Linked DNA regions of Neurospora crassa OR74A. The protein of the gene in region 1 purifies or fractionates together with the protein of each later gene. This does not show direct contact. Links are inferred from orthologs where the notes say so. Each region holds a gene or a part of one and is shown in the gene's direction. Other genes may lie near its edges.

Evidence for each region. Proteins that work in one complex are often made in the same cells at the same time.
Region 2: the proteins of NCU02357 (region 1) and NCU02011 purify together in Saccharomyces cerevisiae (affinity purification with mass spectrometry; 4 studies listed by BioGRID, with this or other methods). This does not show direct contact. The link is inferred for Neurospora crassa OR74A from reciprocal best matches to the Saccharomyces cerevisiae genes PSE1 and KAP95.

What each region holds. Positions count from the first base shown.
Region 1 is NC_026507.1:2,756,404-2,764,104, forward strand, and holds NCU02357 (importin subunit beta-3), read left to right. Parts: upstream 1-2,865; 5' UTR 2,866-3,366; coding exon 3,367-3,549; intron 3,550-3,639; coding exon 3,640-4,473; intron 4,474-4,544; coding exon 4,545-6,607; intron 6,608-6,659; coding exon 6,660-6,870; 3' UTR 6,871-7,261; downstream 7,262-7,701. Other genes in the region: NCU02358 (SDS23), read right to left, coding at 1-284, 354-820, 892-1,311. UniProt on the Saccharomyces cerevisiae protein: Functions in nuclear protein import as nuclear transport receptor. Serves as receptor for classical and arginine/glycine-rich nuclear localization signals (cNLS and rg-NLS) in cargo substrates.
Region 2 is NC_026501.1:1,677,906-1,683,844, reverse strand, and holds the end of NCU02011 (importin subunit beta-1), read left to right. Parts: 5' UTR 1-61; coding exon 62-113; intron 114-238; coding exon 239-297; intron 298-378; coding exon 379-1,185; intron 1,186-1,239; coding exon 1,240-2,656; intron 2,657-2,710; coding exon 2,711-2,819; intron 2,820-2,874; coding exon 2,875-3,061; 3' UTR 3,062-3,990; downstream 3,991-5,939. Other genes in the region: NCU02012 (hypothetical protein), read left to right, coding at 4,686-5,101, 5,195-5,284, 5,371-5,939. UniProt on the Saccharomyces cerevisiae protein: Importin beta subunit that functions in nuclear protein import through association with the importin alpha subunit, which binds to the classical nuclear localization signal (cNLS) in cargo substrates.

The sequences.
Region 1 (7,701 bases):
TTGCGACCAGCTTGGCGACCGTGTGAGCTAGGGTAGAATACGGATTGACGTAGAAAACTGGGAAGGAGTCACGGCCATGCTCGACACCACGTTCGGAGAGAATGACGCTGACGAAGTGCATGCATGAAGCCTTGAGCAGGGGCAGACTGTTGGCGTTGGTTAGGAGGCGCACGTCAACGGTGGAAATATTTCCCACAACGTTGTGGCCGTTATCCACAACCGCGACAGATGTCAGCCCCTCGGAGCTCATAAGAAAGAGAGCATCGGCAAGAGGAGCGTCAGCGCTAGGAGATGTTAGCCAAGCGACTTCAGGGCACCGGGCGATTTAGGTACACAAAGCGGAGGTGGCTTACTTGATGGCGATGATTTGCTGCGTCCCGATTTGAAGATCACGCAGCGGGATCGTGTAAAGACGATCAATTAAGGGGAAATTGACGGCCTCGTACCAGAAGAACTCGAGTAGGCGCAACTGGCTCAAGATACCCACCACTTCTGAGTCCTTATTGGTGACCAGAACGCGGTGAATGCCGCCTCCAAACACTTCAATGGCTTTATCGAGAGTGGAATCGGCTGGGAGCTTCACCAGTTCCTCGTGGCGAAAGATGGGTTGGAGGGTACGTAACGGGATCTCTTCCTGAGACTGCGCTTTGACCGAAATATCTGTATATAGAGCGACCTGTTCTTCTTCGGGCTTTGCCAGGCCTACGACGGCCAAAAGGTAGGCATTGAGATCGCTGTGGTCAAAGGTAGAAACGGCTTCCTTCGAAGACGAGTTCTGGCGGACAAGGACCACATTGTTCGGACTACTTTGAAACAGGGTCTGGACAGTAAGTAACGATATCAGCAAGGTCCAAACCAACGACGAAGATTGGCACAGAGGCACTGTCGCACCTTGGTGGCCTCTTGGATACTAGTGTCCAGTTCCGCCCATTTGACTTCATCCGGCTGCAATAACTCGCCAATGGCAATGTCCCGCCAGTCACGGCCGACATAGCGAGGGTTTTGATGGCGGTTTGGCGGTGGGTGGCTCATCAGGTCTTGAATTGCTTGCTGTGTGAAGGAGGGGTGTCTCTGAGTACGTGGCGAGGGGGGCGGATGACGTTGGTTCTCAGCGAAGCTCTGGCGATGCGAATGTGACGAAACATTGCTCGTTGTTTTGGACAAGGGGTTGCCGCCTTGAGAGCTGGAGCGTTCTGGAGGAGACGGGAGCGAGGCGCCGGACAGCGCAGTGTCAGAGACCGGTAAGCCCGGGTTGGCGTTGGCCAATGTGCCAGGAGAGGGCGATTTTGTGATTTCTGATGAGGACTCCATCGAAGCTTCCGAGATGTGGTGATGGTGTTATTGTTGATGTTGTTGTTGCTGGATTTCTCGGGTAATAATGCACGCAACTTGAAGCACCCGCGGCGGACACGGCGATGATGCGGATAAGACCGAAGAAAGAAGAGAGCTTAGGGTAGTTCAGTTGGAGATGGTTCACGACAGATCGATGCGCGGAGAGAAGCTACTACTGGTACTGTATCTTTGCCGAAAGTTCAAGGTGACCGCTGCCGTCGTAGTCGGTTCCGCTGTTCGGAAGGTACAGGTATGCTTCGTATGTATGTAGATGTAGATAGCGTTTCACTTGAGCTTGTCTGCAATCTCGGGGTCGTTGCCGCCGCCGTCTTTGCGCAACCGAGTATGTGGTAGGTAATGGTGGAAGTGTATCTGAAATTCTGAAGTATCTGGCAGGAGAGTGTAGTAGAGGTAGTATGGCGGGAATCAAACACTCAGTGATAGGTAAAGTCGAGATCAAGACTACGAGAAAGATTCAGATCGGCTTGTTGCGACTGCCAACGAAACTGACGAAGCAAGAAAAGCATTGACCAGTCGAGAGCAACAGGAACCTATGGAAACGTCCGCCTGATTCTCAAGTCCAGAAACGGGAGAGCAATGACGATGGTCCAGCCGCGGCACGTACCTATCCTGAGCATACCTACCTTAACGTGATGGTGCGGGGTTGCCCCTGTCTAGCCTATGCGCGGGAAGCACTAGCCTCCCTCTCGTCACTGACTGTCAGGCTACTCTCACACTAAGGCGTGCGGATAGTCTGTACACAGGTAGTGTCCGGCGATAAGGTCACCTGCAGGGCAGGACAGGGCTGAGGCTGTCACCTGTTGACCGTTGCTGCGCTGCACCCAGAGGCGATCAGGTAGGCAAGTAGAGGTAGGCTGAGGTGCGAACTGAAGGCAGCCTGGCGCAATTAGGTTTTTGTCGATGAAAGTCCATCCATATCCAGTGGGGGAGGGAACTCCATGGGGTTAGACCTAGATCAGGCCTATCCACCATTTTCTGTCACCTACATTTCATCTGGGCCTTCACCTCCGAGTCCTGCTTCCCTTCCATGTTGTTGATCATGATCATCACAGACGCCCTACCCACCCGGCAGTGGAAGCCTGGGCACACAAGTTGTGGAAGCTGGGGCCGCCCTGGAGCTTTCCATAGGTTGGAGGAAGGAACGGCCAGAACCGGTGGCCATCTCAAGATGCCACTGCCCCACTCCGTAGTTTTAGCGGACCTCTGCCGCTTGATAGTTATTTACTAGGTGATCACATAGCAAACGGTGCTGTGCTCTAACGGGATGTTAGCGACGCGGCGGGGGGAACCTGGGCGCTTATGGGGTAGGTACCTACCTCTACCTACCTAGGTAACGGGAGGTAGAGGTAGAATGTCTGCCTGCCCTATGCTACCTTTAGGTATGCCGAGAGGCACCTACTTTTGTACGCTACAGTGCCGTGTGCCCCTCGGCCCCCTCCATTCATGAGCTCGGGTTGACCCAGACCCAATCAAAAAAAAATATTGTCCATTCGGTTTTCATACGGTCCATGCCCCCCCCCCTCCCACTCCCCTCGACCCTTTCGAGCCAGTCTAGAGCCATCAAATCACCAATTCTCGACAATCCAAATCCACCTTTGACTGGAGCAAAGTCGAGTTTCGGACGCGTCCTTTATCGCGACTTGAATTCATTCAAGTCTCGGTATCACTAACGGTCACCGTCGACGCCTGTCGTCAATCCATCATCAACTTGGCACTCGAGTTGCTTCTCCATCCGCACCGTTGCCGTGTCCACCTCAAGTCCGTCCTCCCTGGCCCGCCTTTTTCCCAGTCCTCATCCGTATCAGACTTTAGCGAGAGTTCTGATGTTGTTGTTGGGCCAACATCGTTAACCACGTTCCGCCTCTTCCAGAGCCCACCAACCGACGATAACCCAGGGTCACACATTGTGTGTAAGGAGTGCAGTGTGCTTTGCGATTCACTCTTCTGCTCCCCGACCCCACGGCACCAACTAGACACAACTAGCACTCTACTTCGCAACATACATCATTCATCATGTCGGTCCTTCCCGCCGATGTTACGGCCGAGCTGAGCCAGCTGCTCCAGGCTCTTCAGTCGGCCGACAACAACATTCGCTCTCAGGCTGAGGAGCACTTGCAAAACAACTGGACCAGCTCCCGGCCTGGCCTCCTCTTGATGGGCTTGGCTGAGCAGATTGCTGGATCAAGCGACGCTTCGGTATGGCTTCTTCGCAACCCTCTTTTGCTGGGCCGGTCGCCTCAGCGTGTCACTGCTCACATATAACTCACTCGTTTTTGAACCTTGCAGGTCCGTTCTTTCGCCGCCGTCATTTTCCGCCGGATAACACTCAAAACTCGCAAAGCCACGCCGACCTCCGAGGCTGCTACCGATATGTTTCTTTCCCTTGACAACCACGAGGCCGTCGCTGTCCGCAACAAGATTCTCGAGGCCATCCTTGCCGAGACAGACAGAAACGTTCGCAACAAGATTGGTGATGCGGTTGCCGAGGTTGCTAGGCAATATTATGACAATGACCAAAATTGGCCAGAACTACTTCAGACTCTCTTCAACCTCAGCCAAGCACCCGATGCTGGCAAGCGCGAGACGGCCTTCCGCATTTTCCACGCTACCCCTAGCATCATTGAGAAACAACATCAGGATGCCGTAGCCATGGCATTTGCCAAAGCATTCACGGACGAGTCGGTTGCCGTCAGGCTTGCTGCTATGGAGGCTTTTGCGGCCTTTTTCCGCAGCCTGGGAAAGAAGAACCAGGCCAAGTACTTCGAGCTCCTTCCTCAGCTCCTCAACATCCTTCCTCCTATCAAGGACTCGCAAGATTCGGACGACCTTAGCCAGGCCCTCATCGCTCTCATCGACTTGGCCGAAAGTTCCCCCAAGATGTTCAAGACCGTCTTCTCGACTCTTGTTGGATTCAGCATTTCGGTCATTCAAGACAAGGAGCTCACAGACCTCTGCCGACAAAATGCGCTGGAACTTATGGCCACCTTTGCCGATTACGCTCCGTCCATGTGCAAGAAGGATGCTTCTTATACCAAGGATATGATCACACAGTGCCTTAGCTTGATGACGGATCTTGGTGAGGATGACGATGATGCGGCCGAATGGCTTAGCTGCGACGATGTAAGTTGTTGGGTCACTTGTAACTTCTGTGGGGCCCATACATTGGCTCTGTGCTAATGGCGTTTATGCAGCTCGACACCGACGAGAGTGACTCCAACCATGTCGCAGGTGAGCAGTGTCTCGATCGTCTGGCTAATAAGCTCGGAGGTGCCGCTATTCTCAGTCCCATCTTCGGCTGGTTGCCTAGCATGATGAACTCCCCGGCTTGGAGAGACCGTCACGCTGCTTTGATGGCTCTGTCCGCCATTTCAGAAGGCTGCCGCGAGGAGATGATTGGTGAACTGAGGCAGGTCCTTGACTTGGTTGTCCCGGCGTTAAAGGACCCCCATCCTCGTGTCCGTTGGGCTGGCTGCAATGCCCTCGGCCAGATGAGCACCGACTTTGCTCCTACTATGCAGAAGCAGTACTACGATATTGTGCTGTCGGCCATTGTGCCCGTCCTTAACGCACCCGAGGCACGGGTCAAGTCACATGCTGCTGCGGCGCTTGTGAACTTTTGTGAGGAGGCTGACAAGAGTGTCCTTGAGCCTTATCTCGACAACCTTTTGTCGCACTTGTTCCAGCTTCTTCAGAATGAAAAGCGTTACGTCCAAGAGCAGGCTTTGTCTACCATCGCCACCATCGCTGACGCCGCAGAGCAGGCATTTGCCAAGTACTATGATACTCTCATGCCCCTGTTGATGGGAGTGTTGCAGCGCGAGAATGAGAAGGAGGTCCGCCTCCTCCGTGCAAAGGCGATGGAGTGCGCCACCCTGATCGCCCTTGCGGTTGGAAAGGAGCGTCTCGGTGCGGATGCCATGGCGCTAGTGCAACTTTTGGCCAGCATCCAGCAAAACATCACTGATCCCGACGATCCTCAGGCCCAGTACCTCATGCACTGCTGGGGAAGAATGTGCCGTGTGTTGGGTAGGGATTTCCTTCCCTACTTGCCCGAGGTTATGCCGCCACTCCTCGAGCTTGCTAGCGCCAAGGCCGATATCCAGCTTCTGGAAGACGACGAGCAGATTGAGCAGCTACAGACCGAGGAAGGGTGGGAGCTTGTCCCGCTCCGTGGCAAGACTATTGGTATCCGTACCAGCACCATGGACGATAAGAACATGGCCATCGAGCTGCTCGTGGTGTACGCTCAGGTCCTTGAGGGTGACTTTGCGCCTTATGTCGCAGACATCATGGAGAAGATTGCTCTTCCTGGTCTGGCCTTCTTCTTCCACGATCCTGTCAGGTACATGTCTGCGAAGCTAGTTCCGCAATTGCTCATTTCATACAAGAAGCAGTACGGTCCCGGCTCCAACGAGCTCAAGGGCTTGTGGACCAGCACCGTCGTTCAGCTCCTCGACGTTCTTAGCGCCGAGCCTGCCATTGATACGCTCGCGGAGATGTATCAATGCTTCTATGAGTCCATCGAGGTCATCGGCACTGCCTGCCTCGATGAGACGCACATGGGCCGCTTCATCGACGGTGTCCACTCCACTCTTGAGGATTACAAGGATCGGGCAGCCGCTCGTGAGGAGGAGCAAGGAGGTGAAGATGGCGAGGACGAGTCGGAAGAGATGCAGATGGCCATTGAGGATGACCAGACTCTCCTTTCGGACATGAACAAGGCGTTCCATGCTGTTTTCAAGTACCACGGCGCAAGCTTCTTGAGCGCTTGGAGCCGCCTGCTTCCCACCTACAGCAGCTTCTTGAGCTCGAATGATACCACCCAGCGACAGTGGGGACTGTGCATTATGGATGATGTTCTAGAATACTGTGGTGCTGAGAGCATTCACTACGCCCAGTATATCTCGGAGCCTCTGCTCCTCGGCTGCCAGGATGCCTCTCCCGCTATTCGTCAAGCGGCTGCGTATGGCATCGGTGTGGCTGCCCACCATGGCGGCCAGGCTTGGGCGCCGTTGGTGGGCCAAGCCGTCGAAGTTCTCTTCAAGGCTACGCAGATCCCAGATGCGCGCAACGAGGACAATGTGTACGCTACGGAGAATGCCTGCGCTGCCATCGCCAAGATTCTGCATTTCAACTCTTCTCAAGTCGCCAACCCCGACCAGGTTGCGACACAGTGGTTTGAGACTCTGCCGGTCTTGAACGACGAGGAAGCGGCGCCCTATGCGTATGCTTTCATGACCCAGCTGATTGAAAAGTAAGTCTCTTGTCCTGACATGGCGAACTGGAAACGACTGACCCGCAAATAGGCAACATCCTGTCGTTATTTCGCAACCCGCTAAAGCTTTCTACTACGTCGCACAGGCGCTTGAGGTGGACGTTTTGAGCGGACAGACCCTCGCGCGCGTGATTGCCGCTGTCAAGAGCCTGTTGCAAGCAACCGGTACTTCGCCCGACCCCGTACTGCAGCAATTTGGCCCCGAATCTCAGCAGTTGATTCGGGAGCGGTTTAGCAGTTAAGAAGTGTCGGAGGTAGTGGCTGTGGAAGAGAGATGACATCGCTGATGGACGTAGGAGAAGGAAAAGCAAAACGTCGACTTAGGAAGATGGTGATCTACTTGGAAATCAGGATATAGATGGCATGGAACCAGAAGGGATCGACAGGAACTGGTAGGGAAATCATGGTAAGAGCGTGGAGAAATACTTGAGCACGCAATCAGGCTGTTGATGGCCTTGGTCATGTAGGGAAGAAGGCGAGAGGAGTCGAAGCGGAAATGTGAATTTGATGGAGATACCATGCACACCATAACGTTCCTTCGGCGCACGTAACCATTTATCACACACGTATAAAATCACATAAACACTTGTAAATGACTAGGATACCTAAGTAACATGGATCGTTCCAATCTTGCCTTTTACCAGTAGTTTGGGTGGGATACAGGAGAGATCGGAGGGTTGGATCTCTGCTACTGCTACATGAGCACATGTGTTGCGTCTTTGGTTGGAAAAGCTCACAGGTACTCGAGGGTCCTTGAATAGGTAGAATACAATGGAGTTGATGGACCACCAGCATCTGATAGCGGCGGGTATCTGCAGTATGGCATTGTAGTCTACATGGTACCCTCGATACATACCCAGATGGAGGCTGATCAGGGGTCTTTTCTTTGGGGTCCAACTAAAGCAGCCACACCAATTTTACAAACCTTGGGTCCGGGTCCCCCGTTCTGAACGGGAATGGGTGCATAGGACACTACAACTTTCAATTGTGTGCCATGGTCATATCATCATCCCTCTGACACTATCTGTACCTTGGCTGTTTTCTACGTTTGTGTGTGTACACTACATATGTCT
Region 2 (5,939 bases), on another chromosome or scaffold:
CCGCTTCGTTTGCTGGAGAGAGACCCGTTCTTCCTCCGAACCAGGCATCCAAACCGCAACCATGGAGGGCTCTTCAGATATCAACACCGTCCTCACCAACTCGCTGAGTCCTGGTCAGTATATATTCGACATCCTCACCCATGCCCCGACCCTCCTGCCTTTTGGCAGCCGCTCTCGCCATGATGAATCGCGTCAGCTCGTCCAAGCCGTGACGCACATGCTGACTCCTTGTCTCTAGACGCGACCCTGCGACATGCTGCCGAACAGCAGCTCAGCCAAGCCGCTCAGACAAACTTCGTATGGCCTCCTCCCCTCGTTGCTCCTGTGTCGCGTCCCCACAGCAAGGCCTTCATAAACGCTAACTTGGCTGTTTCTTAGTCTCAATACCTCGTGACACTTGTCCAAGAGTTGGCAAATGAGAGCGCCCAGAGCCACATCCGAGCGGCGGCCGGTATCGCCCTCAAGAACGCCTTCAGTGCTCGCGAGTTCGCTAGGCAAGCAGAGCTCCAAGCAAAATGGCTTCAGCAGACAGACCAAGACACAAAGACACGGGTGAAACAGCTCACCCTCGAGACCCTCGCCTCCAGCAGTACCCAGGCAAGCCAGGCCTCGGCGCAGGTTATCGCGGCTATCGCTACCATCGAGTTACCACGAAACGAGTGGCCAGACCTTATGCACGCCCTGGTCAAGAATGTTAGCGAGGGAAGCGAGCACCAGAAGCAGGCCTCTCTGACCACCATCGGCTTCATCTGCGAGAGTCAAGATGTCGATCTACGAAACAGCCTGGTTCAACATTCCAATGCCATCCTCACAGCTGTTGTCCAAGGTGCTCGTAAGGAGGAGCCCAACCGCGAAGTTCGACTTGCCGCCATTACCGCCCTCGGCGACTCTCTTGAGTTTGTCGGTAACAACTTTAAGCATGAGGGCGAGCGCAACTACATTATGCAGGTTATTTGCGAGGCGACACAGGCCGAGGACTCTCGGATACAGCAGGGTGCTTATGGTTGCCTCAACCGCATCATGGCCCTCTACTACGAGAACATGCGCTTCTACATGGAAAAGGCTTTGTTTGGTCTCACCATCCTGGGCATGAAGAGCGATGACGAGGATGTGGCCAAGCTTGCAGTTGAGTTCTGGAGTACCGTTTGCGAAGAGGAGATTGCTATCGAAGATGACAATGCTCAGGTACGTTTCACTGCCACCTTGGTTGAGCAAGAATCCCACTAACAACAGCTGCAGGTTGAGAGCTCGGAGCAGATGCGCCCCTTCTACAACTTCGCCCGCGTTGCTACACTCGAAGTGGTCCCTGTGCTCCTACAGCTCCTCACCAAGCAAGATGAGGATGCGGCTGATGACGAGTACAACATTTCGCGTGCCGCGTACCAGTGTCTCCAACTCTATTCTCAGGCTGTTGGTGCGGCAATCATCCAGCCAGTCATCCAGTTCGTTGAAGCCAACCTTCGCGCTGACGACTGGCACCTCCGTGATGCCGCTGTTTCTGCTTTCGGTGCCATGATGGACGGCCCCGAGGAGAAGTTGCTTGAGCCTATCGTCAAGTCTGGCATGCAGCCCTTGATCGGCATGATGGAGGACCCCTCTTTACATGTTCGTGACTCGACCGCATACGCTCTTGGCAGAATTACAGAAACTTGCTCGGAAGTGATCGATCCTGCTGTTCACCTTGACCCCTTGATCACCTCCCTGTTCAACGGCCTCATGAGCAGCCCCAGAATGGCCGCGTCCTGCTGCTGGGCTTTGATGAACCTCGCGGAGCGTTTTGGCGGCGAATATGGTGCCGCGCAAAACCCCATTACTCCTCACTTCAACCAGTGCGTGACCAACTTGCTCGCCGTGACGGCGAAGCTTGACGGTGACGCTACAGTTCGCACCGCTGCCTACGAGGTTCTTAACGTGTTTGTGCAGAATGCTGCCAACGACAGTCTCCCTGCTGTTGCATCCCTCTCGGATGTTATCCTTCAACGTTTGGAGGAAACACTGCCCCTGCAATCCCAAGTTGTCAGCGTTGAAGACAAGATCACTCTCGAGGATATGCAGACCAGTCTCTGCACCGTGCTCCAGGCAATCATTCAGCGCCTGGACAAGGAGATCACTCCCCAAGGCGACCGCATCATGCAGGTTCTGCTTCAGCTCTTGAACACTATTAATGGCAAGTCGGCTGTTCCTGAAGGTGTCTTCGCAGCCATCAGCGGCCTTGCGAACGCCATGGAGGAGGACTTTGCCAAGTACATGGACGCTTTTGCTCCCTTCCTGTACAATGCCCTGGCAAACCAGGAAGAGCCGAGTCTCTGCTCCATGGCTATCGGCCTGGTCAGCGATATCACTCGCTCCATGGGCGAACGCAGCCAGCCATACTGCGATCAGTTCATGAACTATCTCCTTAACAATCTTAGGAGCACTGCTCTTGCCAACCAGTTCAAGCCTGCAATCTTGCAGTGCTTCGGCGATATTGCTGGCGCTATTGGCGGTCACTTTGAGGCTTACCTCTCGGTTGTTGCTGTTGTCCTTCAGCAGGCTGCTACCGTTACCGCTTCCGCCGAGGGCTCTTATGAGATGTTCGACTATGTGATCTCTCTCCGTGAGGGTATTATGGACGCCTGGGGTGGCATCATTGGTGCCATGAAGGGCAGCGATAAGAGTAAGTTTCCTCGGTCTTAAGCGCGCTTTGCAGAGACTGACAAATGTCGTACAGCCAACGTTCTCGAGCCCTACGTTCAGTCGATCTTTGAGCTTCTTAACACTATTGCTCAGGATCCTAACCGCAGCGAAGCCCTTATGCGGGCCGCTATGGGTGTCATCGGGTAAGTTGGCATGATGTTGAGACAACACATTATAGAAACACTAACGATTATCTAGTGATCTTGCGGACGCATATCCCAACGGCCAGCTGGCCGAAGTCTTCCGTCAGGACTGGATCACCGCCATGATCAAGGAGACTCGGTCGAACCGCGAGTTCCAGCAGCGTACCATTGAGACTGCTCGGTGGGCGCGCGAGCAGGTCAAGCGTCAGATCAGCGGCACCCAGGGCATGATCCAGACATGAGGTTCACTCAGCCCTGAGGACAATCCCAAAGGTGCTCTCTCAGCTCGTCGGCCCTCAGGGCCACTAGCGTCACTTCAAGCACTTCACTCCCGTAGTCGCTTTGGAAGATGCATTATCCCATCACTACCCCCAAGCCCCTTAGCAGCAAATCCCTGACGAACGCGACACGATTCCACGACACTACACCCAATCCCTCCAGTAACACGATGCACAAATGATGTGATACAAGCCCCCTCGATGGTTTTGCACTAATTTATACATCATGTTCGTTTAAATGACACTTCACACAGCACCAACACACCTTTATATCCCTCGTCCCCCTTGCGCGCGGCTGCTAGCACTGGTTTGTTATTTGGTAACACGAATCCTGGGCGTTATTCGGGTCAGCGATAGAGAAGAAGGAGGAAAACGAGAGAAGAGATTTATCATGTACTGCGCGTCACCCTGTAGCACACGTTTCCCTTTGATATCCAAGGCAAAAGGAAGAAGGAAGTGCATCATAGGGCGATCCGACGCAGAACGCACAATCATGTAGAGACACACGAAGAAAGAAACCATTCCCTCAAAACAAACAATCCCTTGTTATGCATACTCCCACTCCCACTTATATTTTACTTACCTTTGTTCACACCACTTGTCCGAACTACCTACAACAACATGTAACATTTAACATTCAACAGGAGAAGGAAGTATGTCAAGGCACAGGCGGGAATATTGGACTTTCTCTCGGGGGATCATTCACATGTACCCTCACAGTCGTATATGGGTTGGCTACGGCAAGAACAAGGCTCTTGTTTGATGAAGCTAACACGATATGATATCAGAAGAAGTGTTCTTGTCTAGTAGAAACAGCGAAGCAGAAAAAAAAAAAAAGAAAAAAGAAAATAAAAAGACAGTTGCTAGGCTCAATGTAAACTATAACTTCCTCCCTAGGGCTGTTGAGTGTTGTCAAGTGATAGTGCCCGCTACCTGCACACTTTTATACATCAACTATACGGCACGCGACCAATCACGTGTAGCTCTTTTATGGCGGAAGTGCTACTTGTGATGCCTGCAGTTCAGTTCAGACAATCTTCAAACTGGTACTGAAGGTCCCACCTTATCCATTCTTTCGCAGGGCTGATTCTCAAGCCTCTTTACGATAACAAGTGATTTCCACCACAGTCTTTGCTGTCAATCAAAATCGAGTTTGTTTTGGATTCGAACTCTCACTGTCCCGTCGTTCGTCTTCCGAGTGTGGGTCCTGGGGCTGCTATTTGGCGACGGGCGGGTGGGTGCCGACCGAAAGTTTTGCCCCGAGGGTTCAAATTCAGGCGCGCGGCATTCGATTTTCACCCATCTGGGCCTGCCCTGTGCAGCACATATCCAGGGCAATTGGCGGTAGAGATTGGACCATATCTTGCCCTGCCGGCAATCAAATCATCCGCCCCGCAACCAACAAGAAGCCGCTCCGGCAAATCTACAGCTTCAACAGCTACCTTTTCTGGTCTGTCATCTGCAACTAAAACATCGCCGTTGTGCCGTCCCGGCGTCCCATTATCGCATCTTTTTATTCTTTTTGCCCTAGGCATCCTCCTCATCCTCCTACGGGCCCCAAAGCGCCGCGCGCGTCGTTGCCGGCAAGATGGACCAGGAGATGAAGCAGGCCGAGCAATCGCCATCGCCAGCTCCCATGGCGATGGCTTCGATGCCGGCCGCGTCGCCTCAACCACAACAAGACGTCGAGATGCACCAGGACCAGGACTCCCCTCAGACTCCGATGCAACTCGATTTGTCAAGCCCCGTGCCAAATACCAATAGTCAGCCACAGCAGCAGCAGCAGCAGCAACCGCAACAGCAGCAACCGCAACAACTGCAACCCCAGGTCAATCAGATCAACGGGCAACAGCTCTCTGGTCAAATCCCTGGCCAATTTCCTCTTCCCGGCCAACCTCCAAGCCAGGTCAATAGCCCAGTCTCTGTCGGAACTCCTGGACAAGTTCCTGGCTTAGCCCTTCCAGCACCTGTCATCAAGCGAAGAGCTCCAATCGCTTGCCGAAGGTATGTGAACAGTTGCCGGATTGACTTGGCATCATCCAAACGTCACGCGAGTACCCAGGTGAAAGCGAAGGACTAACGTGTTGCCCTTTACAGATGCCGCCGTATGAGAAGCAAATGTCTCCATGACAAGGCCCAACCTCCCTGCCAGGCTTGCCGCGATGCTGGACTTGGTCCGGCTGACTGGTAAGAGTTCCCATGATGCATGCAGGCCCTGTCGCAAGGGTGTCTCTACTCTGATCATTTGCTAAAATCACAAACCTTCTCCCCAGTACGTTCCCCGTCCGTGGCCAGCCCGATCAAGATCGCGAATACCGACATCCTCGAATCAGAGCCGACAAGGCGACCAAACGAGACCCCGCAAAGGTCCGGCGCGAAATCCTCGATGCACCCGTACGCTCACCAGCGCCGGCGGTGCCCAGACCTATCAAGGGCTACGATGAATGGGATCTTCTGCCGCCGCTGCCTGAAATAGTCGAAGCCGTCCACAAGTTCACAGCTCACTACTTCCAGTTGGGCTTCATCCACAAGCAACACTTTCCCGAGCGGCTACGGACGAACCACCGATCTGTCAGCGTGTTTTTCCTGCTGAGCATCTTGAGCATTTCGGCCCGACTGACGCCAACATTGGTGGATCGGTTTGGCGGTGCTGTTCAGGCTGCTGAAGTCTTTATGGAACGCGCCTCCGAGGTTGCTTGCCGCGAACTGTATAGAGATCCGGACCTGGAGAGATGCCAGGCGTTCTACCTGTTGAGTATTGCCCAGCAGGGAAGCAGCTTGAAACAACAGAGCTCGATCAACATGGCAATTGCTATGCGTATGGCCACATTGATGGGACTGC